Oryctolagus cuniculus: one gene and its partners. The protein of the gene in region 6 interacts with the protein of the main gene of each other region in a pairwise test. Links are inferred from orthologs where the notes say so. Each region holds a gene or a part of one and is shown on either strand. Other genes may lie near its edges.

Evidence for each region.
Region 1: the proteins of TRIM63 (region 6) and PDHB interact in a two-hybrid assay, tested with the Homo sapiens proteins (2 studies listed by BioGRID). The link is inferred for Oryctolagus cuniculus from reciprocal best matches to the Homo sapiens genes TRIM63 and PDHB.
Region 2: the proteins of TRIM63 (region 6) and UQCRC1 interact in a two-hybrid assay, tested with the Homo sapiens proteins (2 studies listed by BioGRID and IntAct). The link is inferred for Oryctolagus cuniculus from reciprocal best matches to the Homo sapiens genes TRIM63 and UQCRC1.
Region 3: the proteins of TRIM63 (region 6) and PKM interact in a two-hybrid assay, tested with the Homo sapiens proteins (3 studies listed by BioGRID and IntAct). The link is inferred for Oryctolagus cuniculus from reciprocal best matches to the Homo sapiens genes TRIM63 and PKM.
Region 4: the proteins of TRIM63 (region 6) and MYOZ1 interact in a two-hybrid assay, tested with the Homo sapiens proteins (2 studies listed by BioGRID and IntAct). The link is inferred for Oryctolagus cuniculus from reciprocal best matches to the Homo sapiens genes TRIM63 and MYOZ1.
Region 5: the proteins of TRIM63 (region 6) and USP13 interact in a two-hybrid assay, tested with the Homo sapiens proteins (2 studies listed by BioGRID and IntAct). The link is inferred for Oryctolagus cuniculus from reciprocal best matches to the Homo sapiens genes TRIM63 and USP13.
Region 7: the proteins of TRIM63 (region 6) and TNNI2 interact in a two-hybrid assay, tested with the Homo sapiens proteins (2 studies listed by BioGRID and IntAct). The link is inferred for Oryctolagus cuniculus from reciprocal best matches to the Homo sapiens genes TRIM63 and TNNI2.

The regions. Positions count from the first base shown.
Region 1 is NC_091441.1:91,561,129-91,563,484, reverse strand, and holds the end of PDHB (pyruvate dehydrogenase E1 component subunit beta, mitochondrial), read right to left. Parts: intron 1,851-2,356; coding exon 1,709-1,850; intron 1,071-1,708; coding exon 925-1,070; 3' UTR 550-924; downstream 1-549. UniProt on the Homo sapiens protein: The pyruvate dehydrogenase complex catalyzes the overall conversion of pyruvate to acetyl-CoA and CO(2), and thereby links the glycolytic pathway to the tricarboxylic cycle.
Region 2 is NC_091441.1:100,474,289-100,478,728, reverse strand, and holds the start of UQCRC1 (cytochrome b-c1 complex subunit 1, mitochondrial), read right to left. Parts: upstream 2,904-4,440; 5' UTR 2,802-2,903; coding exon 2,733-2,801; intron 2,508-2,732; coding exon 2,367-2,507; intron 578-2,366; coding exon 491-577; intron 1-490. UniProt on the Homo sapiens protein: Component of the ubiquinol-cytochrome c oxidoreductase, a multisubunit transmembrane complex that is part of the mitochondrial electron transport chain which drives oxidative phosphorylation.
Region 3 is NC_091443.1:110,893,426-110,897,077, reverse strand, and holds part of PKM (pyruvate kinase PKM), read right to left. Parts: intron 3,419-3,652; coding exon 3,148-3,418; intron 2,313-3,147; coding exon 2,162-2,312; intron 2,083-2,161; coding exon 1,930-2,082; intron 82-1,929; coding exon of another isoform or gene 1-81. UniProt on the Homo sapiens protein: Catalyzes the final rate-limiting step of glycolysis by mediating the transfer of a phosphoryl group from phosphoenolpyruvate (PEP) to ADP, generating ATP.
Region 4 is NC_091446.1:64,761,282-64,765,414, forward strand, and holds the start of MYOZ1 (myozenin-1), read right to left. Parts: upstream 2,815-4,133; 5' UTR 2,707-2,814; intron 1,264-2,706; 5' UTR 1,246-1,263; coding exon 1,173-1,245; intron 651-1,172; coding exon 472-650; intron 1-471. UniProt on the Homo sapiens protein: Myozenins may serve as intracellular binding proteins involved in linking Z-disk proteins such as alpha-actinin, gamma-filamin, TCAP/telethonin, LDB3/ZASP and localizing calcineurin signaling to the sarcomere.
Region 5 is NC_091435.1:100,057,520-100,061,171, forward strand, and holds part of USP13 (ubiquitin carboxyl-terminal hydrolase 13), read right to left. Parts: intron 2,043-3,652; coding exon 1,899-2,042; intron 1-1,898. UniProt on the Homo sapiens protein: Deubiquitinase that mediates deubiquitination of target proteins such as BECN1, MITF, SKP2 and USP10 and is involved in various processes such as autophagy, endoplasmic reticulum-associated degradation (ERAD), cell cycle progression or DNA damage response.
Region 6 is NC_091438.1:145,359,939-145,364,276, reverse strand, and holds the start of TRIM63 (E3 ubiquitin-protein ligase TRIM63), read right to left. Parts: upstream 2,876-4,338; 5' UTR 2,727-2,875; coding exon 2,568-2,726; intron 1,843-2,567; coding exon 1,670-1,842; intron 29-1,669; exon of another isoform or gene 1-28. UniProt on the Homo sapiens protein: E3 ubiquitin ligase. Mediates the ubiquitination and subsequent proteasomal degradation of CKM, GMEB1 and HIBADH.
Region 7 is NC_091432.1:1,635,703-1,639,983, forward strand, and holds TNNI2 (troponin I, fast skeletal muscle), read right to left. Parts: upstream 2,673-4,281; 5' UTR 2,621-2,672; exon of another isoform or gene 2,585-2,620; intron 2,092-2,584; 5' UTR 2,070-2,091; coding exon 2,062-2,069; exon of another isoform or gene 2,055-2,061; intron 1,873-2,054; coding exon 1,866-1,872; intron 1,663-1,865; exon of another isoform or gene 1,490-1,662; coding exon 1,448-1,489; intron 1,394-1,447; exon of another isoform or gene 1,356-1,393; coding exon 1,227-1,355; intron 1,145-1,226; coding exon 1,055-1,144; intron 955-1,054; coding exon 778-954; intron 687-777; coding exon 591-686; 3' UTR 510-590; downstream 1-509. Other genes in the region: SYT8 (synaptotagmin-8), read right to left, coding at 3,772-4,005, 4,131-4,264. UniProt on the Homo sapiens protein: Troponin I is the inhibitory subunit of troponin, the thin filament regulatory complex which confers calcium-sensitivity to striated muscle actomyosin ATPase activity.

The DNA of each region.
Region 1 (2,356 bases), on a different chromosome or scaffold from region 6:
CTTCCTTCCTGTGTGTATTTCATCTCTTATTTTCCCTCCTAAAAACGAACAGTCCTTCTTTAAAAACATTTACTTTTACTTATTTGAAAGGTAGAGACACACAGAGATCTTTCATCTGCTAGCTCACTCCCCAAATACCTGCAAGAGCCAGAGCCAGGCTGAAGCCAGGAGCCCAGAACTCAATATGGATCTCTCCTGTGGGTGGCAGGCATTCTGATATATGCTGTGGAATGTCCCAACCACAGCACCAAGCCACCACCCCAACATTCCTATCTTCTACTTAAAAGCGGGTACCACCAAAATGCTTCTGGAGCAGCTGGGACTCAAACTGTCGTTCAGATGTGGATGCCGCCAGTGTCACTTAACCTGCTGTGCCACAATACTGGCTCCAAGCCATGATTCTGAGGTTGGTCTTGCTATTTTGGATAAAATCTCAATAAAAACAGGCAGTGGTTTTATAGTTACAGCTTATTTTCCATTTGGCACTAATTTCTTAATACACTTTTAAGTCTTCACTCTTTTTTTTCAAGCATATAAAAACACAACTAGTCATAGTTAGGAATTTCTTTATTCCTTATCAAAACAACCTACAGTAAATGTAGATTATACACTTATTTAATACATATAAGTTATATATTCTGGATATATCTTTTAAGACTGCCACATCTGTATCAGTCCTAGTGACAATGGATAAAATTTTCTGTTTATTCAAAGAACAAGGCAACTAAAACAGATAAAAGCAGGCAGGAGTCTAGGGCAGCACAGTGGAGAATTCTCTACACACAGACATATTTAAACTTCTTCCCAGTACAAAAACACATGTTGCTGTAGAGATTACTTTATGAATAGTGAGATCTTGCAGTACAATCCAGGTACCAGCAAGGACTTTAAATAAATTTCAATGGCTAGATTTTCAGGTCCAAATTAGATATTTAATGTTTTCTTTATTGCAAATATGATGTCTTTGACCTGAGGTATAGAGTTGTCTTCTAGAATCTTTGCATAAGGCATAGGGACGTCAGCACCAGTGACACGAACAGCAGGTGCATCCAGGAAATTGAATGCAGGACCTAGGAGAGAAGGAAGACGCAACTGAGGTGGGCAGGAAAAAGCAGCCGAGCACTCGCACGCTGGCAAAAATGGCTGCGCAGGAAGAAAAAGCATAAGGTAAAATAATACTTGTTTTGGGAAAGACTTTCTGTTTTTTTTTTGTTTTGTTTTTTTTTTTTTTTTTGACAGAGTGGATAGTGAGAGAGACAGAGAGAAAGGTCTTCCTTTTGCCGTTGGTTCACCCTCCAATGGCCGCCACGGCTGGCGCGCTGCAGCCGGCGCATCGCACTGATCTGATGGCAGGAGCCAGGTGCTTCTCCTGGTCTCCCATGGGGTGCAGGGCCCAAGCACTTGAGCCATCCTCCACTGCACTCCCTGGCCACAGCAGAGAGCTGGCCTGGAAGAGGGGCAACCGGGACAGAATCCGGCGCCCCGACCGGGACTAGAACCCGGTGTGCCGGCGCCGCTAGGTGGAGGATTAGCCTATTGAGCCGCGGCGCCGGCCTGGTTTTGTTTTTTAAAATATTAACACCATACAGTAAGTTCAAAGTTCAAGGCATTTGGCTACCCTAGCTTTTTTTCTCTATTCAACACGTGTTCAGGTACACACTGTTTGTTACAGTTTGACCATATTCTAGATCCACTTTCTTTGCAATACCTTCCATGATCCTGGCACAAATTTCAGCTCCTACTCCAAACTGTGGCCAGCCTCCTTCCACTGTTACCAGATGATTTGTCTTCATGACACTGGCTTCTATGGTTTCAATGTCCATTGGTCTGATAGTACGCAGATTTATGACCTAAAGAGGAAATACAATAAATAAGCTTTATAGAGCCACTGCATCACAAATACAAGGGTACTTCAAAAGGTTTGTAGAAGAGGAATTAAAAGATGAGTTTATTTTGGTGTGGAAAAATGCTAAATCCAGGCATACAAGGGATCTTTAAAAAATAGTGCTGGGGGGCCGGCGCAGTGGCTCACTTGGTTAATCCTCCACCTGCAACGCCAGCATCCCATATGAGCACCGGGTTCTAGTCCTGGTTGCTCCTCTTCCAGTCCAGCTCTTTGCTGTGGCCTGGGAGGGCAGTGGAGGATGGCTCAAGTGTTTGGGCCCCTGCACCCACGTGGAAGACCAGGAAGAAGCACCTGGCTCCTGGCTTCGGAAGCTGGGAGCTTCTTTTGAGTTTCACACATGGGAACAGGGGCCCAAGGACTTGGGCCATCCTCCACTGCCTTTTCCAGACACTTTCTGATCCAGGGAGCTGGATCAGAAGTAGAGCAGCTGGAACTCAAACTGGCACCCAT
Region 2 (4,440 bases), on a different chromosome or scaffold from region 6:
ACCCACATGGGAGACCAGGAAGTAGCACCTGGCTCCTGGCTTCAGATTGGCACAGTGCCAGCCGTAGCAGCCATTTGGGGTGTGAACCAACGGAAGGAGGACCTTTCTCTCTGTCGCTCTCTCTGTGTCTATAACTCTGCCTGTCAAATAAATTAAAAAAAAAAAAAAAAAAAAAGTGCCTCTACAGCCAGCAGGTGCAGACACTCTGCCGTAAGCAGGTGTGCATGCCCATGTGCGGGTTTGCTCCCATGCAGGTGTGCAGCTCCCTGTGTTTCCCAAAGTCCACCTGCTTTCACATAGCACAGCCCTGGCCTTAGTGCAAAGTGGGGCTCCTGTGCTCCAGGGACCTCGTGCAGGGACTCACAGAGAGGCTCCTCCGAGGGCAAAGCAGAGACTGGAGTAGTCAGGAGCCTAAGTTTGCTGACCTCCCCTCAGGAGGGACAACAGGGAGGCCTGAGCCCAGGGAAGACACAGACCTGGAGCGCCTCACCTTGAAAGCCAGATGCTCCACGAAGTAGCCTGCCCCATTGTTCTTCTCAGTCTCGTACCGGCTGCCAACATCAATCCACACGCCCACCTGGACAAGAAGCCACCAACAAAGGTGACAAACCACCCCGGCCCCCAGCCATCCGCCACCCTGAGTGACTGAGCATAGGCCCCGGGCAGGGAGAGCTGTCCTGCCCAGAGCCCTGTGCCTGGAGGTAAGCAGTGCCCATGGCACAGGGCCCCGGACAGTGACACTGCCCCATTTCCCAGGTGGAGATCAACAACACCCTGGGATGTTTCTAACTGCTCACGTTTACCTGGTCCCACCCCCGCAACAAACTGTCCAGCTGATTCTGAGTTTTCAGAGTATACCATCTGCAAACAGCAGTAACTATTCCCTCTCTTCTATATAGCATATCCTACCTTCGCTCCAGTGACGGCACTGTATGTGTTACTAAGCACAGCAGCCTTCCAACAACACTGAAAAACTTCCTGATCAGACCTGGACACCCATCACGCCCAAATGTCTCCTTGGCACCCAATGAGACAATCTTAACTTTCTTAAGTCTGCTGGTATGCTGGGACACACACCAGACACCCCACCAGGCCACAGCGCTCTCATCATCTCATTAATGCTTTGCCCATGGCTGACTTAATTTTTTCACTGTACTTTGCTAAGAGATGTTGCTGTCCACGCCGCGTGTCATAAAGTCACAGATGGACATGTGTTTCACATGCAAGATGCATTTACAATCCAGAGGACCCTTTCGGTATAGTCACCAGCATTTCTCTGGAGTTGGCGGGGCACGGTGGTGCTCCTTACCAAACAGGGCATCAGAGCCCGTGAGAGCCGGCACTGCCTAGAGCCTTCCTCACAGGGCCTGGGTCGGCTCACACAGGCGCCCCACGACGAGGAAGCGGCCCCCACCTTCTCCTTACATCCCAGGACACAGTCCGTTCCCGGAAAACCGACAGAATCCGCCAGTGAAAGCATTAGGTCCCGGAGCTGGGGCAGGGGCACGAAGGAGGGGAGAGGGCAGGCTTCCTGGCTGGGGCTCGTCCCACTTAGTAGTCACACGGCTGGTCAAGACTTCTATGCTTCGCCCGGCGCCGCGGCTCACTAGGCTAATCCTCCGCCTTGCGGCGCCGGCACACCGGGTTCTAGTCCTGGTCGGGGCACCGGATTCTGTCCCGGTTGCCCCTCTTCCAGGCCAGCTCTCTGCTGTGGCCCGGGAGTGCAGTGGAGGGCCCTGCACCCCATGGGAGACCAGGAGAAGCAGGAGAAGCGCTTGGCTCCTGCCATTGGATCAGCGCGGGATGCCGGCCACAGCGCGCCGGCCGTGGCGGCCATTGGAGGATGAACCAACAGCAAAAGGAAGACCTTTCTCTCTGTCTCTCTCTCTCACTGTCCACTCTGCCTGTCAAAAAAAAAAAAAAAAAAAAAAGACTTCTATGCTTCGATCAATTCCAAGGATTTGCTGTGCTTTGTTTTGGAAAATCGCGCACTCGTCTCACTGTCATCCTCAAGTGCATTTTCTCTGCAAGTGCGTGCCTGGCCTAGCCTGGCGATCAGGACGCGGGGCTGGGAAGCTGACAACCGCGGCCCCCTGCAAGGCACCCACGGCCTCTGAATTCCACCTTCCGCAGCCAAGATGGAGCCGCGACTTCTATCACTCGGCCGCTTAGCCATCAGCTGGCAAAGAACCTGGCCTCCTGCTCGGCAGACACCGTGTGCGGAACGGTGTCGACCACGGTGGGGTCGGGGAGGGGGACAGGCTACAGCGAGCGAGCCACGCCACAACCAGAGGGCGTGTGCCCAAGGTCACGCCTCGACCACGGTAGAGACGGCGGGTCCAACCCGGAGGCGCCCCCGCACTCACCGTGCAGGTCGGCTGCGAAGACTGCTCCGAGGCCACGCGCAGCCCGTTGTCCAGCAGGCTCACCTGCGTCTCGGGCACGCTCTGGAGGGCCTGCGCGAAGGTTGCGGTTCCGCGCAAGGCAGGCGCTCTCAACAGGGCTGGCTGCAAGAAGGGAGGGCAAAGAACGAGGGCTGGCTCGAGGGGCTCTCTCCAGCTCGACCCCACGGAAGCCCCAGCGAAGCAGGCACCCCTGCCCTCGGCCGTGACCTTCCCACCGCCCTGACCCCGCCTACTCCCCACCTCCACCTGCCACCGCTAACAGCCCATTCCCCGTCCGCGTCCCCAAGCCCAGAACTCCGCAACCCCGCGCTCTCGCCTCTGCCTCACCGAGCGGCCTGTGCGCAGCAGCGCTTGGGCCCCGGCGCCTGCCGCCCGGCAAACCACGGACGCCGCCATCTTCTAGTTCCCGTCAGTGAGCAGCTGCGCTGCGCATGCGCATAGTGGACGCCGGGGGCGCGTCCAAGGCGCAGGCGCAGCACCTCGGACTCGGCGCTCGGCCGCCCCCTGGTGGAAGCCGGCGCGGCGGGCGCCCTCCACCGGGAGCGGTCGCTGGGTCCGTCGGCTTGCGCGCAGGTTCCTGGGAAATTCCCTGGCTGCCCATCTTCCAGCGCAGAGGAGCCCGCGGTCCTGCCCATCGCTCGCGTTCACGCGTGGGAGGCAGAGCGTCCGGTGCTTCCCGCCACCTAGGGCGTCCCCTGCGGGCTTGGAGACCTTCCATCCGCTGGTTCACTCCACAAATGGCCCCAGCAGCCACGGCTGGGCCAGGCTGGAGCCGGGAGCCAGGAGCTTCTTCCAAGTCTCCCACGTGGGTGGCAAAGTCCCACGTACCTGAGCCGGCTTCTGCTGCCCTCCGGGGTGCCCATGAGCCGGAATGCCGGACTGAAAGCAGAGGCAGGACTTGGGCATTTCAGTGTGGGACAGCAGGGCAGCTTGACCCACTATGCCACAACACAAATACAGATTTGTATTTACAGAAAAGCTAACAGATCACACAGAGTTCTCCTATGCACACACACACACACACACACACAGCAGTTTCCCTTGTTATGAACATCTTACGTTACCACGCTACGTTTGTTATGATTAATGAGTCAACATTGGCACATTATTTTTATTTTTTAAGTTATTTATTTATTTGAAAGGGTTACAGAGAGAAGGAGAGGCAGAGAGAGAGAGAGAGAGAGAGAGATCTTCCATATTCTGGTTCATTCCCCCAAATGGCCAAGGCTGGGCCAAGCTAAAGCCAGGAGCCAAGAACTTCACTGGGGTCTCCCACATGGGTGGCAGGGACCCAAGCACTTGGGTCATCTGCTGCTTTTCCAAGGCAATTAGCTGGGAGCTGGATTGGAAGTGGAGCAGCTGGGACATGGACTGGTCCAATATTAGATGCTGGCATCATAGGCAGTGGCTTTACCCAGCTATATCACAATGCTGGCCCAAGGTGCATATTTTTAAAGTCTATAGTTTATTCGAGTTTTATCAGGTTTTTTTTTTTTTTTTGGACAGGCAGAGTGGACAGTGAGAGAGAGAGACAGAGAGAAAGGTCTTCCTTTGCTGTTGGTTCACCCTCTAATGGCCACCGCGGCCAGCGCGCTGCGGCCGGCGCACCGCGCTGATCTGATGGCAGGAGCCAGGTGCTTTTCCTGGTCTCCCATGGGGTGCAGGGCCCAAGCACTTGGGCCATCCTCCACTGCACTCCCTGGCCACAGCAGAGGGCTGGCCTGGAAGAGGGGCAACCGGGACAGAATCCGGTGCCCCGACCGGGACTAGAACCCGGTGTGCCGGCGCCGCTAGGCGGAGGATTAGCCTAGTGAGCCGTGGCGCCGGCCCCAGTTTTTTTTTTTTTTTTTTACAGGCAGAGTTAGACAGTAAGAGAGAGAGAGAGAGATAGAAAGGTCTTCCTTTTTCCGTTGGTTCACCCCCCCCCCAAGTGGCCGCTACTGCCGGCGTGTTGCAGCCAGCGCACTGCGCCCATCCGAAGCCAGGAGCCAGGTGCTTCCTCCTGGTCTCCCATGCAGGTGCAGGGCCCAAGGAC
Region 3 (3,652 bases), on a different chromosome or scaffold from region 6:
GTCTGTGGAGTGACTGGAGGCTCGCGCAAGTTCTTCGAACAGCTTGCGGTGGAACATGGCTGCCTCAGCCTCGCGAGCTATCTGTAAGGGTTAGGGGAGAGGGCAAGGAAGAGAGGAGGAGGAGGAGACAGGGAAGACAAGACACGGAAAGACAGAACGGGGGATTAATCAGGGAGGAAGGCACCCCGGGTTAATCGGGTCGTCAAGCAGAGGCAGAGGGTCCAGGTCCAGCCAGCATGGCCGCGGGCTCTAGCGCCGTGGCATGGAGACCTGCCCAGGCTGGACCTGACCACGCTGCCTCGTGACACAGATTTCGGGAAGGAGCAGGCCCCTCCTCACTTGGCTGTCTGGGTGTTTGTGCCACATGGAGGCTGCTTGGCTTGAGGCACAAGGGTGCTCTCCCCAGTGCCCGCCGTGGGAACAGACAACAGGGCTGGGAGGCAGGCGTCAGCAGCCAAGGCCACGCAGGAGAGCTGGCAGCACAGGCCAGCTCGCGAGGGCCGCCCTGAACAGCCATGTGAAGAGACACCCATGGGAGCATGCGGGGACGTCACAGGACGCTTGATTAACAGCTACTGATTAAAACAGGCGCGAGAGAGCTGAGTTACCACAGACCACCAGCTCAGGTGAGACTGAGAATCAGAAAGCGAGTGGAAGCGTTCGAGATTACAATGCAGTTCCCAGTGGCTTAGTCATCAACGGGCGAGGAAGGGTCAGCAGCACCGCCCCATTCATTTCATCTCCGAGCGGAAGCAGACGCGGGGAGCACCGCCGAGTTAACGATGGGATGAGTGCATGCAGCCCGAGGGACAGGGACAGGGACAGGAGCCAGGGCCATACCTGGTGCGGCCTAGCCCTGAGTTACGGGTCAGTGCATCAGTCCGAGCACGGACACTGAGAGGCGGCTGCCGGCTAGTGGCCTGCACCACCTGCAGGGCAGCCACATCCTGGCCCAGAGCCTGCAACGCCCTAAGCTGTCTGTCCATGGGAAAGACCAGTTAAGGGAAAGAGGCACAGAATTCAGAACCCAGAACCAACTCTGGGACCCAGAGCCTCGTTCTAAGTCCTACTGGGCAGGGGAACCGCAGGGAGAAGGCCGGCTTTGGGTCAGTGTCCTGGGAGTTCTTGTCCCACAGCCCTGGTTATGCTGGGAGCTGTCAGGATTACATCAGTGTACCAGGGACTTATCAGAACTAAAGCCAGCAGTCGTAGATCTCATCTAATCCAGCTTACAGACGAGGTCCTGAGAGAGTGGAGACTTCGCCCAGAGACACTTTCTGTAGTCCGTGTGCTTCAGACAAGGTCATCACCCTCCCGCTTGAGCTTACCACAGCACACAGACAGAGGAGCGTCAGAGACCACAGGGAGCCACTCTCCAGGTGACTGGGGCTCAAGGTGCACCAAGCCCGAGTGGCCTTGACAACCAGCCCTGGGCTCCCACCTACAGAAGAGGTCAGGCGGCTATGGCCCAGCCCCAGACTCCTGCAGATGACTCCAGTGTGAGGACCACCGGGGCTGGCCACCTTCCCAAGCCCCTCTGGGTCGTCTGGACTAAGTGAGGCAGCTGCACCCCCACAGCACAGAAGCCGGTCCCGCTGCAGGCACCATGCAAGGCCGGCTCACAGGCAGCTTGCTGGGTGCACACAGGCCCCGCAGGGAGTCCAGTCAGCAGCCAAACAGAGCAGCTGGGGGCAGGAGCCCTGGTGTCTTCCGGATCAGGCCAAAGGTGCTGAAGCCCCTGGACCTCTGAGGAGGGCGACAGGCATCTGCTGAGGGCAGCAGTACCCCAGGACTCAAGCGAAGGACTCGGAAGCTGGGGTGACTCCTCCGGACAGGAGCTGGGAGGCGGGGCAGAAGGGGCGCCCCACGCCCAGCACGTGCCTCACTTGTGCAGTGAGGCTCCGCGGAAGCGGGGCCCTGGGCACTCACCAGGTGCTGCATGCGGACGGCCTCCAGCGGGTAGTCGCCCTTGGCCGTCTCTCCAGACAGCATGATGCAGTCGGCTCCATCCAGGACCGCGTTGGCCACGTCACTGCCCTCGGCGCGGGTGGGGCGGGGCTTCTTGATCATGCTCTCCAGCATCTGGGAGGGGCAGAGCACGGGTGAGACCCTGCTGGACTGGGGGTGCACAGGGACGGGGTCCCCAGGGAGGGCCACATGCCTGCGTGGCACAGATGACAGGCTTCCCAGCACGGTTGCATCGCCCAATTATCATCTTCTGGGCAAGGAAGACCTTCTCTGCAGGAATCTCAATGCCAAGATCACCGCGAGCCACCATGATCCCGTCGCTGGCCTCCAGGATCTCATCAAACCTGACAGAGGGCGCAGGGACGAAACAGAAGTCATATTCCACAGGGGTCCCAAGTATGGTGACAGACAGGAAGCCCCGGCCACGACCCCTAACTCGGAGGGCCCGACACAGCACAGATGCGTGCACGTGGCCAGGCTCCCGGCTCCTGGGCCTCGACACCTTCTGGGATGCCCCGCCCCGCCTCTCCACCTGACCCTGTGAGGCCCTCAAGTGCTCCAGTCAGCATTTCCCAGGAAGGGCACCGACGCTGCTGGCTGCTTCCCACCCCAAGGTCGGCGGCCTCATCTAGCCAAGGACACCACAGGCATGCCCCAGGGAGGCAAGAGGGCACGCGCATCACCGGCCCGAGCCAGCAGCCCGGCCCATCAGGACAGCAAAGGCAGAGAGCCGAGCTCATGTGGTAGGAAGGATGCCCAGGCAGAGCCGGAGACGGCCAGAACACCAGGCTGTGGGCCCCAGGGCTGCTGCCGCCCTGCCCCTCACGAGCTACTGCTCTAGGAGGGGCCAGCTGGCCACACTGAGACGGCGGAGGTGGTCAGGCTGGGCTGGGGCAGCCTGGGGACCTGAAGAAGACCCCCAGGCTTCCCTCTGGGGGCGAGTGGCTCATCGCCAGGCCAGCCCTTCTGAGGGAAGACCAAGACCCCGACCCCGCGCTTCCCCACGGCCGCCGGTCAGGAAACGGTGCCAGCCCCCGTCCTGTGCGCAGGGGCCTGCTCTCTGGTGTGGGTCCTCCGGCCACGGAGCAACGTCAGACCGCCTGCACAGCCTTCCGCTGCAGTGTGCTGCCCAGCGAGCAGGCGCGAGGCGGGCTGGCCGGCTGGCGTCCGGGGACTCACCTGCGCACCCCCTCGTGGTTCTCAATTTTGCTGATGATCTTGATGTTCTTCCCTTTCTCTCCCAGGATCTTCCTGACCTCATGGACGTCAGCCGCCTTGCGGATGAAAGAGGCAAACACCATGTCCACGTCCTGCTCCACGCCGAACTTCAGATCCTGGATGTCCTTCTCGGACACGGCAGGCAGGTCCACCGCAGCCCCGGGGAGGTTCACGCCCTTCTTGCTGCCCAAGAAGCCACCGTTCTCCACCTCCGTCACCAGGAAGTCAGGACCTGTGGGCACAGCGAGCAGGGGATGCAGAGCTGCCAGGGCCCATCCCCCAGGGGACAGGGGAGCAGCAATCAGCAGGTGCCTCCCTCCCCGCGGAGGACCAGGGAAGCACACCTGGGGACCAGGGCCACGCAAACAAGCCCAACCCCCGCCCACAGCCTGTCTGCCCGCGCTCCCTCACTCGTTTGGGTGAGTGCCGTGGTGCAGGTTAGGCCGCCACTTGGGACGCCTACATC
Region 4 (4,133 bases), on a different chromosome or scaffold from region 6:
GGACATACATATGTAAAAAAGTACTGTTTGCATAAATTTGAAGCTCAAATTTAACTGGGCAGCCTGTATTTTAATCTTAAATTTAAATTTGATTTTTATGTCCAAAATTTGCACAAGGCATATTTTACTAAAAAATTATTCATTGTTTATTTTTACTTCAAAATACAAGGCTGGGTGTTTTGTGTTTCATCTGGCAACCCTATCTTTAACACTTACCCATACTGGGAAGGAATTTTCTCCCTGAGGGTGTGGTACTCCCCACCCCTTCACTGACTTTCAGATGGAGACTTCAGTTTCAGAGATGGGCTGTAACACCCTGTAGCTGTTGGGGGCTTAATATATCTGGGGGGTTAATGAGCTTATAAATTCTCAGGGAGCGGAGGTTGATGGTATTTTGGAGGTTCAGAGCCTGCCAAGAAACTGTCAGAAAAGGCATTAGGCTTTGAAAGAGTGGTGAAGTTCCAAACGCACCATTGAGCTGTCAGAGAAAACATCAGGATGGTTCTCATAGATGAATTTCTCCACTCGCATCTGCCGCAGTTTGAACATCTTGGAGCCCCGGTTGGTGAGCAGCGACAGCTCCTCCAACATTACATCCCGTGGGACACTGATCTTCTTACCCAGATTCAGGCCTGAGCTCTCTTGTCCACCTTTCAGAGAGGTAGGGAGGAAGAAGCAAGGGAAAGAGTAAGGTGGGGTTTTCTGACCTCAGAAGGCAGACTTTATCCACAACTGAGTGTGTTTGTCCTGCAGAGATCATTTAGGGGAGCAGCTGCTCTCTGTGATGCCAGACCAAACTCTCTAGTTTATGGGACATTTTGACTTCCTGGGTTCAGAATTGGAGAGCATGCATGAGACTGAAGAGAGTGGGGATACTAGAGTGAAAGGGTGTTTGAGGTCAAAGGGGCATGGGTTTGGGGTGCAGTGTAAAGAGGTAAAGGAGCATCCTAGAAAGAGACCATTGGAGAAACTAGGGCATGGGGAAAAGTCCAGGGGCCAGACCTTGGTAGAGTAGGCAGCTGTCAATACAGAATTTTCCTTCTCCCATCCCAACTGGAGTTCCTCCTGTCTGTTCACCCTCAAACCTATATAACTTTATATTTCTGGGACCCTTGGGGCAAAGATACTCTAAATAAGAAGTCCCACACTGGGTACATGCAAATGTCCCCTACCTCCAGTGAGTTCCATGATCAGCTTGCTGGATTTCCTCTTCTTGTTAGGGGCAGGGGTTCCTGAGAGCGGCATTGTGGAGGTGGACTCGATCTGGGTGGAAGGGAAAAATAGTTGGAGGATGGACGGAGACTGACAAAACCAAGTGTCTGCAGTATGGCAGTACTTTTTTTTTTTTTTTTTAGATTTTATTTACTTATTTTAGAGGTAGAATTACAGACGGACAGAAGAAAGATGGAAAGAGAGGTCTTCCATCCACTGGTTCAGTCTCCAAATGGCCCCAATGGCCAGAGTTGAGCTGATCTGAAGCCAGGAGCCAGGAGCTTCCTCCAGGTCTCTCATACTAGTGCAGGGGCCCAAGCACCTGGGTTATCTTCTATTGCTTTTCCAAGTCATAAGCAGAGAGCTGAATCAGAAGAGGAGCAGCCAGGACACGAATGGGTTCCCATACGGGATGATGGCACTACAGGTGGAGGCTTAACCTACTACACCACAGCACCAGCCCCGGGAAGTACTTCTTTACCTGAGGCTAAGGGCTTCAGGGGACAAAATTTCATCAGATTTTCAAAGAAGTCATCTATGCCCCAAAGGTGAAAATCCACTGCTTTGGGGTTTCTCTTTTCTTGGGAAGGAGGGCAGGAAGTATAGATGCACCCCTTGTCTTTATTTTCTACCAACCTCCAGTGTGCTGTTTACCATAGAGCTGATGCAGGGAATAGGAACAAAACTAAGGGTGTGAATATTTAAAAAACAACAGGAAAGCAGGCAGGGCAATGCACCCAGGATTCATTGGCTTGGCATGACTTGAAGTTTTCATTTGCAATGGGATAACAGACTAGGACGATGAATCCAGGCTCTGGTCTCTCCTCATTCTTACCCCAAGCCCCTGGAGGTTAGAGAAATGTTCTGCCAGGGTTGATGAGATTCAGCCAAAAACATTCTCCATAAGAAGGAGAGGTTGTTGTTCTACCACTGGGCCAGCTGGAACATGGCCTGGGAGGTCATGGCTATGCAGCTTGTCCCTTCAGTCACAACCCCCCACCCCCACCCCGGACCCCAGAGCTGCAGTGGAGGGAGAAGCCAGAAGACATTTGAACCCTGACACATGTCAATTCAGCAATATCATGGCAGTGGGAACTGAGGGGAGACAGGAACATGGTAACAGCATCTGGCAATGGAGAGGAACAAGTTGAGATAAGATAGACTCCAACTTATCTAACTAAAAATTGGCACTTGGTGAAATGTGGTCTTCTTCTGAATCCTGTCTCACAAACACATCTGCAACTCTGCTGGCGTAGTGGGGCCTCATATCTGCTTCCCATTCCTCTAGTGCCTCCCGCAACATCTCCATTTCCCCCAACCTCCTTGGCCGTTCTCCTTCCAACACTCTGTGGCTCCCCAGACCTGGACAGCTGGGAGCCAAGGGTAATAAAGAAGGGAGGCCACACCCCCCAGATCAAGAATCATAATTGCATAAAGAAACGGAAGTCAACAGAGTGGGCTCCAGACCCTGTAGCTGGAGACCTGGAGACTTACCAGTTGCTCAGGCGGTGGTCAGCTCTCCCTGGGGTCCAGCAGCTTTGGAGGACTGAGCTGCTGTGACCGGAGAACATGAGCTGGGCAGGCGTGGGGGCAGCACTGGCAGTGGGGGAGGGAGGGTGTTTATTAATAGAGATGATGAGTGCAGGCAGCTCAAATGGCACAGGGGGCACTGAGACCCTGGAACCAGGATCCTGCCCTCCCTGCCCAGAGGCTCAGGAAAGGAGGAAAGGCCTTTGGGATTCTCCCCTAGAGCTGTCTGAGCCAGGGTTCAGACTGTCCAGGGACTCCCTTTCTCTTTGCCCTGGAGTCTGAGATCCAAAAACACCTTCCGGGAGAAACTGAAGACTAAGAGGGAGAGAGGAAGCAGGCAGCAAGTGGCGGATAGGAATTCAGAGTGCAAGAGAGACAGAACCTAGAGAACATGCTCTGATGGCCACTGGGAGCCAATCCAGGTCTGAGCCAGAGGGACCTGTGGGTGTACTGGGGAATGGGAGGGTTTAAGGCACTATGTCTGATAAGGAGTCTTCACAACAGAACCGCTCTTTTAAAGTTCCTGGATTGCTTGGTCTTTCTCTGTGAGATTGGATCTTGGCAGGATCAGAGACAAAATTAACCAAACTCGGTGCTTTCTACGCAGCCAGGGGTGATGTGGGGAAGACTTGTCCAGTAATTCTTGTCTGCTTTACTTTATTTCTTTCTTTCCTCTTAAACTCTGGCAGGTTTAAGAACAAGTGAACATGCAGATCTTCCTTTATTTATTTATTTATTTATTTATTTAAAAGATTTATTTATTTATTTGAAAGGCAGAATTACAGAGAGGCAGAGACAGAGAGAGGTCTTCCATCTGCTAGTTTGCTCCCCAAATGGCTGCAGTTGCCAGAGCTGGGCAGATCCGAAACCAGGAGCCTCCTCTGGGTCTCCCACATGGGTGCAGGAGCCCAAGGGGCCCAAGGGCTTGGGCCATCTTCCACTGCTTTCTCAGGCCATAGCAGAGAACTAGATTGGAAGTGGAGAAGCCAGGACACAAACCGGCACCCATATGGGATGCCAGCACTTGAAGCGGTGGCTTTAACTGCTATGTACAGCGCTGGCCCCACTGATCTTTCTTTAACAGTCATTTGCTGTTGGAGTACTCAGTTCAGCCTGCTATGCATATGCAGGATAGATATAATAAAAGCACATTTAGGCTCTCTGAGGTTCCTACTTGAGATTTTCTTCAAATGGGATCTGGGCCATCCCATTCACACTGTTTGAAAGGAACCTCTAGGTAGGAGCACAGTGTTGAAAGTCCCCTTGGGAGAAGTCTATCATTTGCCTAACCCCTTGCTCAGTAAGTGCATGAACAGGCTGGATCTTCCTCCACCTCCTGCTCAGGTTCTGGAACCAGCTCTGCTGTTCATCTGCTGCAGCCACCACCACCC
Region 5 (3,652 bases), on a different chromosome or scaffold from region 6:
AAAAATAGAATTCTTGGAACTCAACCATAAAAAGATAAATAACCTCATTAAAAATGGGCAAAGAATCTAAATGGATGTTTTTCTAAGGAAGATACACAAATGGTCAATAAACATATGAAAAGACATTCAACATCATTAGGCATTGGAAAAACGCAAATCAAGGCCCCATGAGATATCACTTCACACCCACTGGAAAGGATAAATAAAAAAGATGATAATAAGAGTCAGTGAGGAAGGGGAAAAGTTGAAACTCTCATTCACTACTGGCCAGAATGCAACATGGCTCACTGACTCTGTAAAAACAGTTTGGCAGGAGGTCAACACTGTGGTGCAGTGAGTTAAGCTGCTGACTGATGCTGGCATCCCATCTCAGAGTGCTGGTTCAAGTCCTGGCTGCTCCACTTCCAATCCAGCTAATATGCTTGGAAAGCCAGTGCAGGATGCCCCCATGACTTGGGCCCATGCCAACTATATGGGGGACCATATACAGTTCCTGGCTCCTGGATTCAGCCTGGCCCAGACCATGAGGGGAGTGAACCAAAGAATGGAAGATTTCTCTGTCTCTCTCTCTCTCTCTTTCTCTCTGTCTCCCTCTCTGTCATTCTGCCTTTCAAGTAAATCTTTGGAAAAACTAAAACAAAACAGTTTGGCAGTTCCTCTGGAAGTTAAACATGGAGTTAACATAGGGTATAACAATTCAACACAAGAGAAATGAAAATATAAGTCCACACAAAAGTTTGTATGGAAATATTTATAGCAGCATTATTCATAAAAGCAAAAACATCCCAAATGTCCATCAACTGATGAAAGGATGAATAAAATATAGTACATCCACACAATGGAATATTATTCAGCCATGAAAAGGAATGGAGAACTGATTTATGCCATAACACACATGAGCCTTGAAAGCATGACCCTAAGTGACAGAAACCAGACATAAAAAATCTTATGTTGTATAATTCCATTTACATGAGATGTCTAAAATAGGCAAATCCACAAATTCAATTAGGAAATTAGTAGTTGTCAGGGGCTATGGAGAGCGGGACATTGCGGATTGACTGCTGATGGGTACAGGATTTCATCTGGGTGGACAAAAATGTTAAACTAGACAGTGATGATGGTTGCACAATGCAGTGAATTTGCTAAAACCACTGATATATACCCTTAAAAATATAGCTGACTTGTATGGTACTGTAAATGAGATATTTTTCAATGAAGTGAACAAAAGAAAAAGCTAACAGGGTTGGCCCTATAGCATAGTAGGCTAAGCCTTCTGTCTGTGGCGCCAGCATCCCATATGGTTGCCAGTTCACGCCCCGGCTGCTCCTCTTCTGATCCAGCTCTCTGCTTATGGCCTGGGAAAGCAGTAGAAGATGGCCCAAGTCCTTGGGCCCCTGCACCGACATGGGAGACCCCAAAGAAGCTCCTGGCTCCCAGCTTCAGATCGGCCCAGCTCCAGTCATTGTGGCCATTTGGGGAGTGAACCAGCGGATGGAAGATCTTTCTCTCTGTCTCTCCCTCTCTCCGTCCATAACTCTACCTCTCAAATAAATAAATCAAATCTTAAAAAAAAAAAAAAAAAAAAAGAAAAAGCTAACTAAACCATCTCCATTTCTCCATACACACACACATTTCTATTTTAGATCCTCATCATCTCTTAACTGGCAATATATCCCACGTATTTCTAATGGTCTTTAATTCACTGGAAAATATACTTGAAAGATTAATTATATCTCAATAAAAAAAAAAAAAGACAGAGATTGTAACTTTGCTACTACAGCACAATTTGAGCTGAAAAGTCATTTTCTGGTGACACTTCCATAAGAGACATGAAAGGGCCAAGGCTTAAATCCTTGAGGTCACCTCAGACCCCAAAGCATTCCATTGTCCCCACCTACCCGGCTCTTCCATGTGAACAATGATCCAGTTGAAGGCCACCTCGGCTCCCATATTTCCAGTGAAGTACACAGCCTTCCGACACGCTTCTAGAGGGAAGCCCATCTCGGCCAGCTGCATCACCGACGACTCATCGATGTCTGATGCTACAGAGCACAACAGGATATTCTGGTGTAAAAAAGTAAACTCTATGTCTCTTCTTGCCTTAGCTGCTCTTCACCCCCACCCCTTATCCACCTGCCACCCAAAGAAGGTGCTATTATGTTGGAAGTACAAATAATGGTTTTAGTTTGTTTTGTTTTGAGCCATTTTAAATGTTAAGCCATTTGAGCTGAGTTTATATCCTTGCTAGAAACAGGAATCCTGGGGATTACCTGCACAATACAAGCACTGAAAAACAATTCTCCAAGGTCCTAGGGGGAGATATACTGTATATCCAGAATCATTTCAGCCTCAGGTCATTCTCAAAACCTCTACAAGTAGCCTCGCCTGAGATGGAAATTTGAAGAGAAAAGCATTGTCTACAGGCCAAAAAGCTGTTCCTTAAATTTCACAGGAAGCTGCAGCAAGGCCTTTAAATACATCCAGCAATCACAGGAGAGCAATCAGTTCTTGGAAATGTACAGCCCAAATGTTAAGTATAGAAGGGAAAAAACACCTTTTAAAATTCTATACACTGGGGCCGGTGCTGTGGCACAGCAGGTTAACGCCCTGGCCTGAAGCTCCAGCATTCCATATGGGCGCTGGTTCGAGACCCAGCTGCTCCACTTCCAGTCCAGCTCTCTGCTATGGCCTGGGAAAGCAGTAGAAGATGGCCCAAGTCCTTGGGCCCCTGCACCCACGTGGGAGACACTGAAGAAGCTCCTGGCTCCTGGCTTTGGATCGGCGCAGCTCTGGCCATTGTGGCCATTTGGGGAGTGAACCATCAGATGGAAGATCGCTCTCTTTCTTTCTCTCTCTCTCTCTCTCTCTCTGCTTCTCCTCTCTCTGTGTAACTCTGACTTTTAAATAAATAAATAAATCTTTTAAAAAATTCTTTTTTTTTTTTTTTTTTTTTTTTTTGACAGGCAGAGTGGACAGTGAGAGAGAGAGACAGAGAGAAAGGTCTTCCTTTGCCGTTGGTTCACCCTCCAATGGCCGCCGCTGCAGCCGGCGCACCGCGCTGATCCGATGGCAGGAGCCAGGATCCAGGTGCTTTTCCTGGTCTCCCATGGGGTGCAGGGCCCAAGCACCTGGGCCATCCTCCACTGCACTCCCTGGCCATAGCAGAGAGCTGGCCTGGAAGAGGGGCAACCGGGACAGAATCCGGCGCCCTGACCGGGACTAGAACCCGGTGTGCCGGCGCCGCAAGGTGGAGGATTAGCCTATTGAGCCACGGCGCCGGCCTCTTTTAAAAAATTCTATATACTTAAGACATAACTGAGATAGCTTTACAAACCCAACTTGAGCCAAACATGGAGGATTTCATTTTCTTTTCCTGATATCATATAGATTTTGATAGAGCTATGTGTATACATATGTGTGTAAATATATGTTCAGTGACTATATATATGTACATGTAGATGTGTACAACTATACATATACAGTGCTCTTAAACTATACCTAAAAAGGACAAAAAGCAGGAACACAAAATATAACCTTTATATTTTCCATGTCCTAAGGTCTCTACTGAAAATTCTCCCAATTTCTTGGAAATCAGTAGAATTAAGGAATAGAGATATCTGTTCTACAAAAATTATACTGAAATGCATTTACC
Region 6 (4,338 bases):
CAGCCTGCACGACTGCCCACAGCCCAGCTTTCTGTCCTCCCCCCGCAGTTCTTAAAGAAGCCCCTGGCCAGACTTGTCTTCTTGCATCTTGCCGCCCAGGGCCTGCATGCTGGTAGGGGTCTCCCGGCCCTGGGAGAGGAGCCCTGGGGCCAGCAGTGGTGCACAGAGACAAGCTGTGACCCCTGACCCTTGGGTGCCCATCCTTCCCTCTGGCTTCCGTCCAGACCGTTGGAGCAAGTTGCTTGGCTCCTCTGGGTTTGGTTTCCTCCGACAGGAGGAAGAATTGCCGAAGCTCTCTGCGGGAACAGGAAGTGCCCAGCACAGAGCAGAGCCCCAGGAAAGCGCAGCGGCTGTGACGCTCCTCCCCTTGGAGAGGCCTCAGGGGCTCCGACACAGCGCGCTCAGCGGAGGTGCTCCCCGAGGGGGCTGGTATTCCCATGCAATACAGATTGGACTACTTTTATAGCGACCCACAGCCCGTGTGCATCCTGTAGCCACAATCTAGACCAGCGGTGAGGAATATGCACCAGGCACAGGCACTGAGCCCGGCATTCGGGACACCTGCTCCCCCTAGCTGAGTTCTCAGGTGGATCCTCGGCTCCAGCTCCTGACGCGGGCTCCTACGATGCAGACCCGGGAAGCTGTGCTGATGACTCAAGTAATTGGGCTCCTGCCACCCACGTAGGAGACCCAGATTAAGTTCTGGGCTCCCAGATTCAGCTCCAACTCAGCCCCCGCTGGGCATTTCACGCATGAACCAGCAGATGGGAATGTGTTCTCTCTCTCTCTCTCAAATAAATACATTATTTTTAAAACGAAAAAAGCACATTCACCATGGAGTCAGTCACACCTTCTCTCTTCTAGCTGTGTGGCCTTGGGAAAATCTCCGACCCTCTCTGAGCCTCCGTTTCCTTATAGGAAAATGGAGCTGCGAATGCCTCACAGAGTGACTGAGACAGGAAGTACTCCGGACAGTGCCTGAGCACAGCGTGTGCTCAGGGAGCACTTGACTGTGTCACATTGCCCATCGGTGTCCTAGCCCACAGTCACAGCCACGCTTCGGCCACTTAATGCATTAACAACGGGGCAGAGCGGCCATCACAGGCCCCAGGCCAGGGCTCTTCCTCCGCGGGCATGGTTGGCAGCACCTCTGGGCAGGCCACTGCCTGCTGCCACGTGCTTGGTGGAGGTTTTAGACCAAAAAGGCTGTGAGGTCAGCAGCTGGGAGTGGTGTCAGGATGTCCTCATTTGTACCGCTCTCCCGGCAGCGGCTGTGTCTCCAGCCGGCCCCACCACTCACAGATGCTGCCTCTCTTATTAACAGGGAGACTCAGCACCCGATGGGCCAGGCTCAGCCCCAGCTCGCCCCCTTCTCGGCTGGGAAGCCTTGAGTCACTGACTTGGCTTCTTGGGGATTACAGAAGTCCCTCCCGGTCTACAGGGTGGCTGCGAGGCAGGCAGAGCCTCCCCAGGGCTGGCAAGGGAGACAATGTAGCCATCGCTGCAGCTCCTGGCTATGTTGTCACTGGGCACTCTCCCTGCCCAGCCGGCCACCTCACAGGTCCCAGGCCTGTCCCTCCCTCTCGCTTCCCATCTCCCCCGGCAGTGCAGCCCGAGGGGTCCCTAGTGGCGGGTTCTGGGGGCAGGGTCTCGGGGCCGGCGAGCTGACCTGGAGCACTCTTGCTTGTAGATGTCAATGATGTTCTCCACCAGCAGGTTCCTCTGCAGCCCGTACACGCCGTGCCGGTCCATGACCACCTCGTGGCGGCAGGACGGGCAGCGGAAACGGCCGCCGGACATGGACACCGTGCCGCTCCGGTTGGTCCAGTAAGGATTTGCGGCCTGCGGTGGCCAAGGTAGAGGTGAGGCCAGTGCTCCCTCCTCAGCCCCTTCCCTCTTGAGTCTCTCCCGCTCTTGAGGTGAGAACAGACCCCTGCCCGGAGAGCCCCCGAGCAGTCAGCAGGCCTGGCTTCCGTCTCTGCCTGACCCTGGGCAGTGACTTTCTCTCTCAAAACCTCAGTTTGCCCACTCAAGAAATGGGTGCTATAATTAGGGCAAAGGTGAAGCAGTGAAGTGGCATTGGAGACGGTGCTCCTGGGGACCGCTGGGTCCTGCCTGCCTGCCAGACCTCCCTAGAGCCCCTCCGGCTCCCACCTTGAAGAGGACAGCCTCGGTGGGGGGGCCCTCTAGGCCTCGTGCCTGCCCGTCCCCCTCCTCCCACAGCTCCGGGCCCCCTGCCACTGTGGCGCTGGCCGGGCCCCAGGGGTCTGGTTTCTCTCCCCTCTCTGCCTGCCTCCCCCTTATCACTTGAGGCATTTGACTCTCAGTCCTCAGCGGGCCCAGGGCAGGCGGGGGAGCTGTGGACAGGCTGGGAGGGACACATGCGTCATGGAGAGGCAGCGGGGCCGCCAGAGCCACCGCCCCAGCCCCAGCCCAGGCCAGAGGCCTCCACAGGGGATCACTCGGAAGCGGAAAGAATCAGCTCGCATTGCAGGGCCTTCGGCTAAGAGCAAAGGGCCGCCGAGTTGCCGCCCAGGGACCCAGGAGCGGCCATGGCCAGCACCGACCTGGAAGATGTCGTTGGCACACTTGCGGCAGAGGTTGTGCTGACACGGCAGGATGACCACCGGCTTGGTGAACATCTCCAGGCAGATGGGACAGATCAGCTGCTTCTCCAGGTTCTCCATGGGGCTGCCATCCTGGATCAGGCCCGACTTGTAATCCATAACGTTGGGGTGGCTGCCTCCTCCACCTGCTGGCTCCGGAGACCTGTGCCTTTGTCACAAACACCCGCTCGGAATCTCTCGGCCTTCTTCTCCCCGCGTCTGAATTCTGTCCGGGACTGGGGCCCCTCTGGTATTTATAGCTGGGTCTCGGTCACATGAGCCCGGGAGGGGACCAGCTGAGCATTCCGATGCCAAGTGCGCGGTGGGGCTTGAGTTTCTTCCAAGCCTGGGAGACGCGGCCCTCTCAGATCACACGCAAGCCTGAGCAATCGCTGTTCCCCGGGCATAGGGGGTCGAAAACAAGAACAACCTGTTCGGAGGCAGCCTGGCGGGGGCATGGGTACCCAGAGTTCCCTCCAGAAACTGGGTCCCCCTAGCTAGGCTGCTGGGCCAGGGATGGGATCCAGGGAGGGGACCTCGGGGATTCAGGGGTTCATAGTCACTGTCCCCCTCATTAACGTAAATCAGTGCCTGCCACTCCCCTGGAGTCCTGGGCAGCTCTCAAGATAAGGGACAGGGCCGCCCCTCTCTGAGCCTCGCACCTGAGCCCAGCGTCTCATGTAGACAGGGGAGGCCCCACCCGGGGTGTCTGTCTCCCTCTCTTGGCCACTTATTCCCCTTAACGCTGAAAGGGCTCCCTTGAGTCCAGTCCCCTCATTCTATAGAGTTTGAAATGAGTCCCAGCAAAGAGAAGACTTTACACTTCCTAGCAGCAAAGCCAGGAACCTTATCCACACACCAGACATTCTTCAGTGCAGCAGGGACCAAGGTGACAGGCAGAGGAGCGGTCTCCTGCCCTGGGATGTGCACAGCCCAGGAAGGAGCAGAGGGGAGCAGCTCTTATGGAAACCCCGCCTGGACGCTCAGCACTGGCCGGAAGGCTCCCCTGGGTCTCGGCACACATTTTCAATTTTACTCCACTTTAAAAAAGCTTTACTTATTATTTTTAAAGATTTATTTCTTTTATTTGAAAGACAGAGTTACAGAGAGGCAGAGTCATAGAGAGAGGTCTTCCATCTGCTGGTTCACTCCCCAGTTGGCTGCAACAGCCGGAGCTGTGCCAATCTGAAGCCAGGAGCCAGGAGCTTCCTTCCGGTCTCCCACGTGGGTGCAGGGTCCCAAGGACTTGGGCCATCTTCTACTGCTTTCCCAGGTCATAGCAGTGAGCTGGATAGGAAGTGGAGCAGCCCGGTGCCATGGCTCACTTGGTTAATCCTCCGCCTGTGGCGCCGGCATCCCACATGGGCGCCGGGTTCTAGTCCTGGTTGCTCCTCTTCCAGTCCAGCTCTCTGCTGTGGCCCGGGAAGGCAGTGGAGGATGGCCCAAGTGCTTGGGCACCTGCACCCGCGTGGGAAACCAGGAAGAAGCACCTGGCTCCTGGCTTTGGATTGGGGCAGCTCTGGCTGTGGCAGCCATTTTGGGGGTGAACCAACGGAAGGAAGACCTTTCTCTCTGTCTCGCTCTCTCACTGTCTATCTGTCAAGTAAAAAAAAAGGAAGTGGAGCAGCCAGGACTTGAACCGGCACCCATATGGGATGCCGGCACTGCACTGCAGGTGGCGGCTTTACCTGCTACACCACAGCTCCAGCCCCAATATTTACTTATTTATTTG
Region 7 (4,281 bases), on a different chromosome or scaffold from region 6:
CTGGCATGGCCGCCAGTCTCAGGCGTGGGAGCACCTGAGGTCAGAGGTCGAGAGCGCCCCACCCCGGCCCAACTCCAAGGCCACGCCCTGAGACGGCCCAGGTCTCCACGCCCTCGTGCGTGGTGGGGAGGGCCCCAGATGAGAGTCCTGGCTGCAGGCACTGGGCAGCCCCTCGGCCCCCTACTCAGGAACACGGGGCCCCCAGAACAAGGCGGCCGGGGCTGCCCAGGGCACCACCTGGACTCCCACAGGGGCGGGGTCTCTGCGGGCCAGTGCAGGGCCTTCTTCGGATGACCCCTGAAGGGCCGGAGGGGTTCACGCGGGGACCCCTGCTCAGACACCCGTGCCCTCTCCCCGGCCCTGTGGTGTTGTTGGGGGCGTCCACGGGGAGCCTGGGACCATGCCCCACCCCCGGAAGCAGCCCCCACTCTGCAGGGTCCCGCGAGGTGGGGAGGGAGGCTGCAGACGAGCGGGGGTGGGCTGGGGCAGAAGCTGACCAGAGCAGACATGGGGGCGGGACTCCTTTATTGAGCACTGCGAGGAGGCGGGGGGACCCCCGGAGCCCCCTCCCCAGCCCCGGCGTGGGCGGCCTAGGACTCGGACTCGAACATCTTCTTGCGGCCCTCCATGCCCGACTTCTCCTCGATGTTCTTCCTCCAGTCGCCCACGTCGCGCAGGTCCCGCTCCTGGGGGCAGGTGGGCAGGCAGGCAGGTGCGGTGGGAGAGGGCTGGACCAGCGCCCGCCCCGCCCCGCCCGCCCGCCCGCGCGGCGCTCACCTTCTCCGTGTCCTCCTTCTTCACCTGCTTCAGGTTGGCCCGCAGGTCCATGCACACCTTGTGCTTGGAGCCCAGCAGGGCCTTGAGCATGGCGTCAGCCGACATGCGCACACGCCGCAGCGGGGGCCTCTTGAACTTGCCCCGCAGGTCGAACAGCTTCTGGTTCATGTCCTCCAGCTGCGGGCGGGCGTGGGCGGGCGTGGGTGGGCGCAGGTGGGCGGCTGCGCCCCGCCCGGCCCGGCCCCCGCGCCCCTCCCGCCCCCTCCCCGGCCCTCACCTCCTTGCTGCTCTTCTGCACCTTGATCTCCATGTCATACTTCTCCTCCTCGGCCGCGTCGATCTTGGCGTGCAGCTGCTTGCACAGCTCCTGGGGGCGGGCGGCGCGCGTGGGTGGGCGGCCGGCCCCCGCGGGAGCCCCGCCCATCGGGCCGCCGCGCGGGGGTCCCTACCTGCACCTCGGCCATGGAGCCAGGGAGGCTCAGGGGCGGGCAGTGCTCCGCCAGGTAGTTCTGCTTCTCGGCCTCGCGGCGGCCCTCCTCCTTCTCCAGCTCGGTGGCCGCGATCTGCAGCATCACGCTCTGCAGGGGCGCGGGGAGGGGGGCGGTGAGCCTGCGTCCTGCGCAGAGACCCCCCGCGGGCCGCCCCACCCCCTCCCAGGACCCCCTCCTACCTTCAGGTGCTGCCGCCGGGCCGTGATGGCCCTGTTGCGTTTCTGCAGGGGAGAACGGGGGTCAGGGCCGGGCCCGGGGGACCCCACACCCTTCCCGCCCGGGGCCCTGCTCCAGGGGCACGGGGCTGCATGGTGGGTGCCATTGGGCTGGATGGACCGGGCTGGGGGAGGGGGAGGCCGGGTGCAGAGGTCAGAAAGAAGAAGTGAGGAGGCCCCGTCTGCACTTCCCTCGCCCCACGAGGCCCCCAGCAGCCACTTCCTCTTTCATCAGCATCTGGGGGTGGGGGGGCTGGGGCGGGGTGTGTGTGTGCTGGGCGTCTCCTCTGGGCCTCCAGGGCCCTGCAGCCCTGACCCCTGAGCGGCCCCGAGGGTGACAGGGGCGCGGAGCCCCCACACTTCTGGTCCCTAAGGTACTCACCTCTTCACTGCGCAGGAGGAAGAGGGGAGAAGAGAGAGAGGTTAGGTTGCGGCTGGGGGAGCGGTGGCAGGTATGACAGGGCAGGTGGGGAGGGGGCGGTGGCTGAGGAGGGCAGGGGAGTTGCTGGGGGGGCCGGGACCCCCGCAGGGCGAGGGGAAGGCGGGGTGGGGGGGACCCCGGGCTGGGCACCACTTACTCTCCCATGCTGAGGTTTGGAGCTCAGAGCCTGTGGGGACAGAAAGAGGGGTCAGGGCCTGGCGCCGCCCGACACCAGCCTGGCAGGGCTGGGGGGCACAGGCCTCATACTCCCACTCCCAAGGGGTGATGTCTCAGGACTCCCGCCCACCCTGGGGCGAGGACTGGCTCCCAGAATGCCCTGGGCAGGGCCTGAGGCGCTGCAGCTGTCCCGCAGGAGGGACGGGCCAGCGCAGGTGGCTGCCCGGACTCCTGGTTATTTTTAACTCTGCTCCTTTGGCATGCGGGAGGACCCTCCCCGGTGTGGCTCCGGGCGCAGGCCCTGGGGTCGTGGGACCCATCCATTGCCCTCCCGGGGGTCCTGAGCGTGCAGGCCTGGTCCCCTGCCGCCGGTGCAGGCCCCCGGCCCGGTCCGCGCCATCTCCCCCGGCAGCTGCCCCTGCTCCGCTCTCCTGGCTCTTCGGCAGCCCCAGCCCCAGGCCCCCTGCCCCGGGAAGCCCTGCGGGCCGCTCACGGGGCAGCACCCTGTCCACGGGCCTCGAAGCCGGGCCCAGCCTCACCTAACGTCGGGGACCAGGACTGGGAGCGAGGTCGTGCTGGCCGTGGCAAGTTGGGATGGTGGGCCCCCGCGAGGCTATAAATGCCCTCCCCCGGGCTGGGCCCCTGCTCAGAAAGGAGACAGCGTCTTCCCTAGACCAATGGGGGCACACGGAGCCCAGAGACCTCCCCACGGCCCAGCCCAGGCCGCCGCCGGCCGCGTGCTGCTGGCCCATCCAAGAAGTCTTGGGTATGCGTGTGGGGGGAGCCACTCGGGTTGTTCTATTTAGGGCTCGGTGACGGGGTCGAGATGCCTTCTTGATCCTTGCAAGGAGCCCGAGAGGACAGTGGCCCGGGACCGCGGCGGCCGGGGACCGCAGCGGCCGGCTCTGCCCGTGGGCCTCGGGGCTCCCCGCGAAGCCTTGGCCCAGCGGTGTGAAACTCTGCTCCTAATGGCCCCCCAGCCTCCCGCAGCCAGGCCCACCCCCCACCGGCCCCTGCCGTGTCCTGGAGCAGGGCCAAGGCCCACGCTGGCCACATCCACCTTCTCCTGCAGGCTAAGGCCCGGACCTCCAAGCAGCCCCAGGCAGGGAGCCGCATGGGCCTGTGTCCCCGCCGCCGGGGAGCGGGTGCCCTGGAGATGCGCGCACGGTGGGGGGGGGGGGCTCCCAGCCTGCGCCCGCCCAGCCCGCGGGCCCCTTCACGGGGGCAGAACGGCACCGCCGCCCGGGAACCTCTGTGTGACCCGAGGGGCTCCAGGCTGCCTGGCTGCCCGGGCAGGCCCCGCCCTGCTGGGGCCCCGTGCTTGGCCCCCGGGGCAGGATCAGCGGCACATTGACGAGGGAGGATTTGGGGGCGCTGAACTTTTCCAGATGCTCGGGGATTAGGAGCACATCCGGGCTGGGGCTGGGCCCCCAAAGGCCCCTGAACGTTGCAAAGATGTCTGCTGCCCCCTGCTGCTCACGCGCGGGAGGCAGAGGGGACACCCCTCCCTCCGCGGCCGCCACCCAGGCCCCCTCCCCTCCCCACCTCCTCCCCGTCCTTGAGGAGGGCAGAGCGGTGTGTCCCCCACCACCGTGTCCCCACAGGGCAGAAGCAGGACACAAAGGAGAGAGAGAAGGCATTTATTTGGGGGGTCCCCACGCAGGGCGGAGCGGCCGAGCGCCCACAGCGCTCAGAAGTGAGGCACGGGCAGGCGCAGGCGAGGCTGTAGGCCCAGGGCCCGGTCCACCTCCCGGGCGGGCTGCAGCCGGTGCCACTGGGCCACGGGCCGCCGGGCGTGGGCCAGCATGTCGGCCCAGTGCTGCAGCGGCTGGCCAGAGGCCCGGGCACTCAGCAGCACCTTGCCCACCGGCTCCATCCGGGCCTGCGGGCCCCGGGCCCAGACGGCCAGCACCAGGTCTACACTCTGGGCGGAGCAGGGCAGCGGGTCCATGGAGGAGCGAGAGAGACAGAGAAAGGAGACAGCGAGCGAGCCTGGTCAGCCGGGCCGTGCGAGGCTGCAGCCCGCCCTGCCCCTGCCATGCGGCCCACCTGGATCTGGCTGAGCGGCACGGGGAAGGAGAAGGCCTCGTTGAAATAGGGCGCGGCCGTGCCGCTCCGGGCCGAGGTCTTCCTCCTCTTCCACTTCCTCCGGTTCAGGACGAGCTGGACCTTCACGAAGCTCTCTGTGTGGGCGAGAGGG